Drosophila melanogaster: one gene and its partner. The protein of the gene in region 1 interacts with the protein of each later gene in a biochemical or structural test. Each region holds a gene or a part of one and is shown in the gene's direction. Other genes may lie near its edges.

What was found.
Region 2: the proteins of Taf1 (region 1) and Taf4 form a complex in vitro, tested with the Drosophila melanogaster proteins (one study listed by BioGRID).

The regions. Positions count from the first base shown.
Region 1 is NT_033777.3:6,644,649-6,649,929, forward strand, and holds the start of Taf1 (TBP-associated factor 1), read left to right. Parts: upstream 1-2,240; 5' UTR 2,241-2,341; coding exon 2,342-2,523; intron 2,524-2,645; coding exon 2,646-2,953; intron 2,954-3,016; coding exon 3,017-3,280; intron 3,281-3,334; coding exon 3,335-3,546; intron 3,547-3,611; coding exon 3,612-4,237; intron 4,238-4,296; coding exon 4,297-4,677; intron 4,678-4,732; coding exon 4,733-5,281. UniProt on the Drosophila melanogaster protein: TFIID is a multimeric protein complex that plays a central role in mediating promoter responses to various activators and repressors. Largest component and core scaffold of the complex.
Region 2 is NT_037436.4:16,111,244-16,116,521, forward strand, and holds the start of Taf4 (TBP-associated factor 4), read left to right. Parts: upstream 1-1,968; 5' UTR 1,969-2,122; intron 2,123-2,546; exon of another isoform or gene 2,547-2,641; 5' UTR 2,642-2,898; intron 2,899-3,064; exon of another isoform or gene 3,065-3,068; 5' UTR 3,069-3,228; coding exon 3,229-3,600; intron 3,601-4,425; coding exon 4,426-4,587; intron 4,588-4,788; coding exon 4,789-5,278. Other genes in the region: Zn72D (Zinc-finger protein at 72D), read right to left, coding at 1-626. UniProt on the Drosophila melanogaster protein: TFIID is a multimeric protein complex that plays a central role in mediating promoter responses to various activators and repressors.

The DNA.
Region 1 (5,281 bases):
GTGTTTATATTCTTGATCAGAATCAATTGCCGAGTCGATCTGACCATGTCCGTTAGTCTGTTTGTCCGTTTGTCCGTGATTTTGGTAAATATAATTGCTAGTAAGTTGAAAAATAGGTCGCAGATTCTTAAAACCTAGACGTCCGATGCTGCCACGACCACACTTTTTAAACATTGTCCTATTTTGATTGAGTATCTTAGCAACTTGGTTAGGCAAAACAGATTTTGGACACGTCGATAAACGCCAAAAATCTAACAAATTCGAAAAAAATATTTTATTTTAGTTTTGCTATCTATCAATGTTCCATCCATATTTTGATTTAGCTGCGTAGTATCTGATAGTCGAGGTAATCGACTAGAATTTGTTTCCTTATTGGACGATAAGAAATTTTGTACCGTAGGCAAGCTAAGTTTACATACCCTCTCAAGTAAAAACATCTCATGTAATTTTACAATATTGTCCGTATGAACGTGTGACCCTCCATGTCCCCCCATGCCCCGCCATGTCCGACCGTGTCCCAATGACGGGACTTGGCTTGGTGCGGGCTGACACGAATCTCGATCTATATGTGGATATTAGTAAACACATGTATGGAATGTCATGGAGTTCTCCTGATAATCGTGTTGGTGACAGGTAACAGCAGTGCGTTATACAGCGAAACAAGAACTATAGATTTCTTTAAGCATGGAGATGGCATATCCAGAGCCATTCCATTAAATATTCCCCCTCTAGGTAGACCTTTCTAAAAGCTATCGCAGGCAGTAACCCTCTAGTCCTCGTCCTACACAAAAACTCGAATATCAAGTGCGACATTCTGAGGGATTGTACTGAAAAACACAAGATTCACTTTGCTTTTCGCAGCCACTTTCTCATCTTAATGATCATATTCTTTCTGCAACAGCGTAAATACTTGCCACCCATCTCCAAGCTTCAAAGTGGCTTAAGTCCTGATCACGGTCGGTATACGTAAATATACGTATATTTATTTTTATTATATCATTCATTCAGCGTGGATAATTAAGTTTCGAAAATTTAATTTGAGGCATTTTATAATGAAGGGAAATTCCAAAAAGACGAAACACAAAAAAATATTCGATTTTTACTAGTCTACCTTTAAATTTTCCCACTTTGTGGTTTTCCATATCTGGGAACAGAAGCCTTGGTAAAGGTAAGTTATAAAACATATAATTAATTTGAGGTACAATGAAGTCGGTCACGGAAAGAGATTAGCAAAAAAATGTACACAATGGCATTGGTTTGTGTCCTAGAGAAATGCTGCCTTGAATTAAAATGATTCTTTAGAGTTTAAGCCATGAAAACGAATTTTCAGCCGGTTTAATCATCAGAAATACATTTTATAACGAAAATCTATTGAAAAACCATAGATTCATTTGATGTAAAAGTTTCAGGATCGGATTCTTGAAGGTGACTAAATTTGTGAGCTCAGCGTACTCTTCCTTTAATCCGTTCAAATAGTTCAAAGCCTGCATATAAAAATCCTACATTCCCATGCAGTTCTTTGGTACAAATATGACAATTTGTGACAGTACAAATCCCAAAGTTGTGGATAGTCTCTTCGAGATTATCATTAAAACGATTCTCAGCTAGAGAAAGCGCAGTTGGTAAAATCGTTTGAGTAAAACCAAGTTAAGAAGAGACTTCTGAAAATAAACATATATATATTTATAATAAAAAATGAATAATAAGAAATATATAAAAATTGATGGTTTAAGTTTTTGCTATCTGAAGTAGTTATGATTGTTTGCTACAGATTTCTGTAAAATCTGAACAACAATAGAGAAATATAGCTCCTTCAACGTTACAAAACCGTAACACAAATGTAGGTCTGAGAACTGTAATTCTAAATTGGCATTGTAGTGCTTATGTATGCCCATTTTTTCTCCAATGAGCGTTGAATAAACTATTTTTGGCTGAATAAAGTTATATTTTGATAGAAGCTGAACAAAAGTGATCGTGTTAATGGTGTTTACAGAAGTTCTATTCAGAAATATATAATTATACAAATGAAATGTACGAATATCAAAGGAATATATATTTTTTAATAAAAATCCACGTATGCCATACATGGTACAAAATTGCCAATTAAAAATATTACAGAGCCCTTTTTGTTGGACACTAACCTTCGGTACAAAACGCAATTGACCTTCCCAAGCTCCCAACCCTTGTCCAAATCTAATCGCGGATTTTCTGGTGCCAGTGGGGAGCCATGAGGCATCTTTGCTTTGTCCATCGACGGTCACACTTACGCGTGTGAAAAATGCAATTACACTCCGTCGAAGAAAATATACTTTAGCCGCGTAAACATTGCAAGCCCATAGAAATGGAGATGGAATCTGACAACAGCGACGATGAGGGATCGATCGGCAATGGATTGGACTTGACCGGCATTCTTTTCGGCAACATCGACTCCGAGGGCAGACTGCTGCAAGATGACGACGGAGAGGGGCGCGGGGGCACCGGTTTCGATGCGGAGCTCCGGGAAAACATTGGTTCCCTTTCCAAGTGAGTACACATGCTTGTACATACATATGTAAACCCGGTATCATTCAAATATATCTTAATTCACAAGATATAAGACACTTTTAATTACATTTCCATTCATATTGCGTATGGATTACTTTCAGATTGGGTCTGGATTCTATGCTGCTCGAGGTTATCGATCTCAAGGAAGCCGAGCCTCCGTCGGATGACGAGGAAGAGGAGGACGCCAGACCGTCAGCCGTCAGTGCCAGCGAAGGAATGAGTGCCTTTGATGCGCTCAAAGCGGGCGTTAAAAGGGAGGATGGCGCCGTAAAGGCTCAGGACGATGCCATTGACTACTCTGACATCACCGAGTTATCCGAGGACTGCCCACGCACTCCGCCCGAAGAAACAAGCACTTATGATGACTTAGAAGACGCCATTCCCGCCTCCAAGGTAGAGGCCAAGTTGAGTAAGTAAGACCGTAATCTACAACGGTTTGATGACATTTAATTTAACCAGTTAACACTGGTAGGAGAGGATATTGCTCAAATTTTTAAAGGTCTATGCAATTCCTGTCAAAGTGACACGATTACTTTTGCACCGCTCAGGTTGGGTTCAGACCTATTGCTATACAGAGAGAATAACTCACATTTTGTTGCAGCTAAGGACGACAAGGAACTAATGCCTCCACCAAGTGCACCAATGCGCTCCGGCTCTGGCGGCGGCATCGAGGAACCGGCCAAGTCAAATGATGCATCTAGTCCCAGTGACGATTCCAAATCTACCGATTCAAAGGGTAAAAATTATTTGAAAACAATAGAATTTTTTTGTCAATGGTCATTCCTTTAAGATGCGGATCGGAAGCTGGACACACCACTGGCAGACATACTGCCGTCCAAGTACCAGAATGTGGATGTGCGTGAGCTCTTTCCGGACTTTCGTCCCCAAAAGGTGCTACGCTTCTCCCGTCTCTTCGGACCCGGTAAACCCACGAGTTTGCCCCAGATCTGGCGACACGTGCGCAAACGCCGCCGCAAGCGAAATCAATCCAGGGATCAGAAGGTAGAAGATCAGAGTACTTTTAAACGGGACGGGATCACCAGGAAACTTTTCGTAAACCATTTCAGACGACAAACACTGGTGGTTCGGACTCTCCAAGCGATACTGAGGAGCCACGAAAGCGGGGCTTCAGTCTGCACTATGCTGCAGAGCCAACGCCAGCGGAGTGCATGTCCGACGACGAGGACAAATTGCTGGGCGACTTCAACAGCGAGGATGTGCGTCCAGAAGGACCGGACAACGGCGAGAACAGCGATCAGAAGCCAAAGGTGGCTGACTGGCGGTTCGGGCCTGCACAGATTTGGTATGATATGCTAGAGGTGCCCGACTCTGGAGAGGGGTTCAACTATGGCTTCAAGACAAAGGCAGCAAGCACCTCGTCTCAGCCGCAACTCAAAGATGAACGCCGTGTAAAGAGTCCAGAAGATGATGTCGAAGATCCAAGCATTGCGGATGATGCCTTTCTCATGGTCTCCCAGCTGCATTGGGAAGACGACGTGGTCTGGGACGGTAACGACATCAAGGCAAAGGTGCTCCAAAAGCTTAACTCAAAGACAAATGCAGCCGGATGGTTGCCCTCGAGCGGGTCGAGAACGGCTGGCGCCTTTAGCCAGCCGGGCAAACCGTCTATGCCCGTGGGAAGTGGAAGCTCCAAGCAGGGTTCGGGAGCATCAAGCAAAAAGGCCCAGCAAAAGTAATTAATTGAAAGTTGAATTCATACGTATTTTACACTAATATTTCAATCGATTTTAGTGCTCAAGCAAAGCCAGCGGAGGCACCTGATGACACCTGGTATAGCCTTTTTCCAGTTGAAAATGAGGAGCTAATATACTACAAGTGGGAGGACGAGGTAATCTGGGATGCCCAGCAAGTGAGCAAGGTGCCCAAGCCGAAGGTACTCACTTTGGATCCCAACGACGAAAACATCATTTTGGGTATTCCTGATGACATAGATCCCTCTAAAATCAATAAGAGCACGGGTCCTCCACCTAAGATCAAGATACCGCATCCTCACGTAAAAAAGTCTAAGATCCTACTTGGCAAGGCGGGTGTGATCAACGTGCTTGCGGAGGACACACCTCCGCCGCCACCCAAAAGTCCTGACCGTGACCCCTTTAACATATCCAATGACACGTAAGTCTCTTAATATAATAATGGATGCAGAATGCAGATTTTAATTCCCTTTCAGTTACTACACACCGAAGACAGAACCCACCCTACGACTTAAGGTGGGCGGTAATCTTATTCAACACTCGACTCCGGTGGTAGAGCTGCGAGCTCCGTTTGTGCCTACGCACATGGGCCCGATGAAGCTCCGCGCCTTCCATCGCCCCCCCCTAAAGAAGTACTCCCACGGGCCAATGGCCCAGTCTATCCCTCATCCTGTCTTCCCACTGCTGAAGACCATCGCAAAGAAGGCGAAGCAGCGCGAAGTGGAGCGCATTGCCTCCGGTGGCGGAGACGTCTTCTTTATGCGCAACCCAGAGGATTTAAGCGGAAGGGACGGAGACATCGTACTAGCCGAGTTCTGCGAAGAGCATCCGCCTCTGATAAACCAGGTGGGCATGTGCTCCAAGATAAAGAACTACTACAAGCGTAAGGCTGAGAAGGACAGTGGGCCGCAGGATTTTGTTTATGGAGAAGTGGCCTTTGCGCACACAAGTCCCTTCCTGGGCATCCTGCATCCTGGCCAGTGCATACAGGCGATTGAGAACAACATGTACCGAGCGCCTATTTA
Region 2 (5,278 bases), on another chromosome or scaffold:
ACTTCGCAGTAGTGCAGCTGCTGGGGACGTGGAGGTGCCTTCGGACGCATACCCCTTATGGCCGTTGCTCCTGGTATGGTGGCTCCCATCTTACGCTGATACCAGTTATTGGCGCCGCCATTTGGTTTTTGGTTTGGATTGCCCTGATGCTGTTGGGCCACATACATGCTTGCCGCATTGTAGAGTGCTGTATCATAGCCACTGTAATTGTTGCCCGCCGGAGGAGCCGAACTAGGGGGCTTGGGACCACCGTTCGACTTGTCCATCTTGCCCTTGACCTGATTCTTGACTGGCGGAGCCGAGTAGTGCGTCTTGCTGACCGAGGCTGTCGAACCGGAGGCGTTGTAGCTGGCCGGCGACTGCTGATAGAATGTCTTGGTGGCGTCGTATTGCATGGCACTTCGATAGTCGCCGTAGCCACCATAACCCCCCGCCCCAGGGCCAGAGGTGGCGCCAGCGCCCGCTCCTGCTGCTCCGCCATAACCACCCTGTCCGGCGGCCACAGCGGCATTCTGATAGGCGGCCGCATTCGCGTAGGTGGCATTGGTTACCGCCGGGTACGAGACTTGGCCCGTATTGTACTGGGTGCCGCCGTAGTTAAACCCGGCGTAGTTGTTGTTGGCCATTGTCGCGGTGCGCTGCAATTACGAAAATCGAATTTGTTTGACAATCTGTCTGCGGTTTACTAGTTTACCATTGGCATTTGCATTTGCATTTTGGACCTGCCCCCATCCCCACCAAGTGCTCTACTTACATTAGCTGTCCTATCCGACTGACTGTCAATATTTATGGGACTTCGAATGCGGATTTATTCGGGAATTTATATGTGCTTTCCGAGTAATAGCCTGTTTATAGCTGTAAAAGCAAAGTGGTCTTAGTCACGTCATGTTGAGAAAGGAGCTCCCCCCACCACTTTCCCATCCGTTTTTCATCTGCTTTTCTCTATCGATTTTTACCCCGCAGCTTTGGACGCACTTTTCGCGTGTCTGGCCCACATGCGAGTGAGCACACGTGGCGATCTCTTTTCCAACGGCATTTTAGCCCTAGTTGTGCATGGTTAAAAAACAGTTAATGCAAATGGCAATTACCTGAAATCGGTTAAATAAAATTTTTCTTCCGTCTCTATGGGCCGGTACTAGTGTGACCGCAGCGTAATCGGATAATCATACTATGTTGAGCCCGACTTGAAACAAATACCACTTTTTATTTTTGGAAGTTTTTGGAAAATATACCATTACACTATATATGTTGCTTATTTAACGGAATTTGTTTAATATTAAAATTGGTATGGTCTATTTTATTAAGACCGCTATTTGTACGATATGTATTTAACTCGCTCTACAGAATTATTTTGCCCGTTGTGCTGAAGTTTAGCATTTCAAAGATACCGAAAACTAACAAAAATACCATCACGTTGGTGGTGGGGCATGTAGTTCGGTATCAAAGTGGAACTATCGATTGTTTGACCGTTACAAAGTACTACTCCTTCGTTTGAATATATATATGATTTAAGTATATGAGCAAATAGCGTTTAAATATAAAAAAATAATAACATTTTTGAGCATTTTCTTCAATTCTGTAATTACCTAACATTCAGCTTTAAACAGTACTCTAATAATAGTTTTAGTAGTTTCTAATTTTTGAGCGTATTCTTCATTTATTCAATTACCTAACATTCAGCTTTAAACAGTACTCTAATAATAGTTCAAAGGATTTAAAATGTATCGTATTCGAATGTATTAAAATAAATTATTTTGATCCTTAAAAATTGTGGCTTATTACCCATATAAAAACTAATGAGCATATAATTAATTTGGTATGCGGCTAAAATCCGATGGCATCAAAATGCCAGCAAACGTTTTTGGTTTTGAAAATGTACGCAACAAGGCTATAAAAAATCGACATGATATCCAAGTCACTACTTCTTTTCTAGTATTTTAATTCGGTATCGCGTTTAACACGACGATATTGTCGCCAACGGTCACACTGCACAACTCGTCCGTACCTCGGCGGTCCGTAAACAATATTTACTCGGTTTTCGGCTAAATCGCCAGAGAAACGCAACGGGAAATCGTTTAAAATGCGCCCCAGTGCACCGAGTTTGAACGCAAAATGAATTGAAGTGAGTGCATCTGCCACAGGGCCCAGAAAATTTCCCCCGACATTGCAGGCTGTACAAAACCTATACTGAAACACACGCACACAGTCGCACAGACACGGACGTGGGTTTATGCCACCACCCGCTGGCCACTAAAGTAGAAATTACTAATACTACGGCTGGCACGATGCTCCATATTGCCACTGGAGACATGTACAAGATGCATTTGTTTTCTTTTTGTTTTAAATATTTTTATGCGGATTTTCGAAAAATATGAATTTTTCCTAATAGAAATCATCAATTATTAAGTGCTCCACTTTCGAGTTGAACTTTTTTTTAAATTTAGTGCATTCACGAATATTGCGCACTCGCCACCCGCATAAACGAGCGGCATTGCCAGATCGTTGGTTACGTGTTTTTCGCACGCTATCTGGCAACGTCCACCAGCCTCGATTTTCGCTTTGCACGCGCATTCGTGAAAATGGCGGCGTTCTGGCACCGTCGCTGCCAAATTTTTTGTACATCAAAATAATCAAAATAAAGCATTCTTCCAGTGCTCAACAATCAGTCCGTGCGAGCACGCGCGAGTGTGTGTGTGCGCAGGAAAACCCGCCGATCGGGAAAAGTGTAGAAAGGCTTAGCGGCGCAAACAAAAGGCAGCGAATTAGCGAGATAACACACACGCGACAACGACTGCAACGGATGCGCCAGGAGAAAGGCCGACGACAGTGACGGCAAAGGCGAGTGCGAGTGAGCCAGCGCAGCACCAATTCAGCGGAGCACCCGCTTTTTTGGCCAAGGTGAATGCGATTACCTGTGCGCGGCATCCAGGTGTACGCAGCATCTGGTTTATGGCGCACGGCCGCCAGGTAGCCGGCGGTCAGGTAGCACCTCCACCGCCTACCTGTTTCTCCACCGCCTCGAGCCGAATCTTGTATAAATACTAAAAGCGCCTCCCCTTGCATTGCAGTTCGCTTCTGGAGCGCACAGCATGCAACAACTCCGCCAACACCAACACAGGATGTGCGCAACTAGTTGATCGGAACAGGATCGCTCGCCCACACCAACACACAGAAGTCAGTGGAATAGGAGAAACACACTCGCCAATAACATAAACACCACACAGCACGATGAACACCAGCCAGACAGCTGCCGGCAATCGCATCACCTTCACCAGCCAGCCGCTGCCCAATGGCACCATCAGCATAGCCGGCAATCCCGGCGCGGTCATCTCCACGGCCCAGCTACCGAATACCACCACCATCAAGACGATCCAGGCGGGGATCGGTGGTCAGCATCAGGGACTTCAGCAGGTGCATCATGTCCAACAGCAGCAGCAGTCGCAACAGCAACAACAGCAGCAACAGCAGACGCAATCCGTAGGTGCCACCCAAACACAAACCCTAGTTATTAAATCCAACCACCATGCTGTCACCCTGCCGGCGGGTCTAGTCTCAAGTGCACCAGCAGGAATCGTAACCATGACCAAGACCATCAATCAGGTATCCATATTAAAGCTAAACCCACTCTTCGGGCGCTAGGCGATCGCAACTCGGGCGTATCACTTCGTCCAAATCTGATCCCCAATCAAAACCCCCTCAATTCCTCGCTCGAATCGGATAGTAGTGGCCGCACACACTTTGGTTGTATACTTTTATTATGCTTTCATCTGTCTACCTCGCTGCCCGAAATTCCCATATCCTTATCCAAATGGGGTTAGTCCCAGGCTTGATAACGTATTTTACGCTTAAAAAATATCCTTAATTCATTAATGTGAAATCTGAAACTTATATCTGAGTTGAAATCTGAAACTTATATCTGAGTTTGTTGCACTCATTTTTGTACTTTTATTTAAAATTAATTTCTTTTTTTACGAATGTCATATCAATTCACTTCATTAGAACTTAAAGCAGTTTAATCACCATAAAAGACATATCTTTAATTTGAAATACTTTATCCCAATGCCGAAAAGTTTCCCAAAGATCAAATCCCTAACAACTGTTCAAAAACACGCACTTGTTCAACAGAAACCTTATTCTACACCAATATCCAAACCATTACATTTGTAGAACTATTGCTTTCAATGCTCGCTTTAAATAGAACAAGATATAGTAGATTATACGCCTTCAAATTTGGTTAGCACAGAGAGAATCAGTTAAACAACTTATTTCCGCACTAATTGGGGTCCTTTGCCGAGCCAACTGCTGCATGATGTAGGCTAATTTAGAATCCCGCAAAACCTCTTAATGCATCCTTTGGTCCAAATAGACTTTGAAAATGTGATGAGATGAATTGATAGACTAATGATAATGTTGCGTATTTGCCAGGCCGGTCAACCGCTGCTCAATTCAATGCTGCCGGCTGGCGTGGTGGTGGGCATGCGCCAACAGGCGCCGTCACAGCAGCAGCAGAAGAATGTGCCCACCAACCCGCTCAGTCGCGTGGTGATCAACTCCCACATGGCGGGCGTGAGACCGCAGAGTCCATCGGTGAGTATGAAGGATAATATTGCTATTACTATGGTTGTTGTGGTGGGTTCTTCCCTACTAACTCACAGAGCTCCCTAACCCAGCCACGCTCCTCACAAACACGCATGTGCACAGCCCACCATTCACTCACACCATACACCATACACACCATGCTCCAGCAGATGAAAACCGAGTCTCTCTGTCTTCTCTCTCTACTTTTAGATAACTTTAAGCACACTTAATACGGGTCAGACCCCGGCATTGCTGGTCAAGACGGATAACGGATTCCAGCTGTTGCGCGTGGGCACGACGACGGGTCCGCCGACGGTGACACAGACTATAACCAACACCAGCAATAACAGCAACACGACAAGCACCACAAACCATCCCACAACCACACAGATCCGTCTGCAAACTGTGCCGGCTGCAGCTGTAAGTAGATACCAACAACAACAACAACATCAGCAGCAATCGCAACAGCAGCAACAATCGCAACAGCAGCAACATGCAACCAGCACAACCGCCAGCACTAGTATTGCACTGCGCAAAACGATTGTCCGTACATCATCCACAGTCCCATCCAGCAATAATAACAATAATAGTATCAATGCCACCACCAACACCACCACCACCACCACTACCAACAACAACAACAAACCCGCTACTAACCAGCAACAGCAGCAGCAGAAGCTCCAACAGCAGCAACATCTGA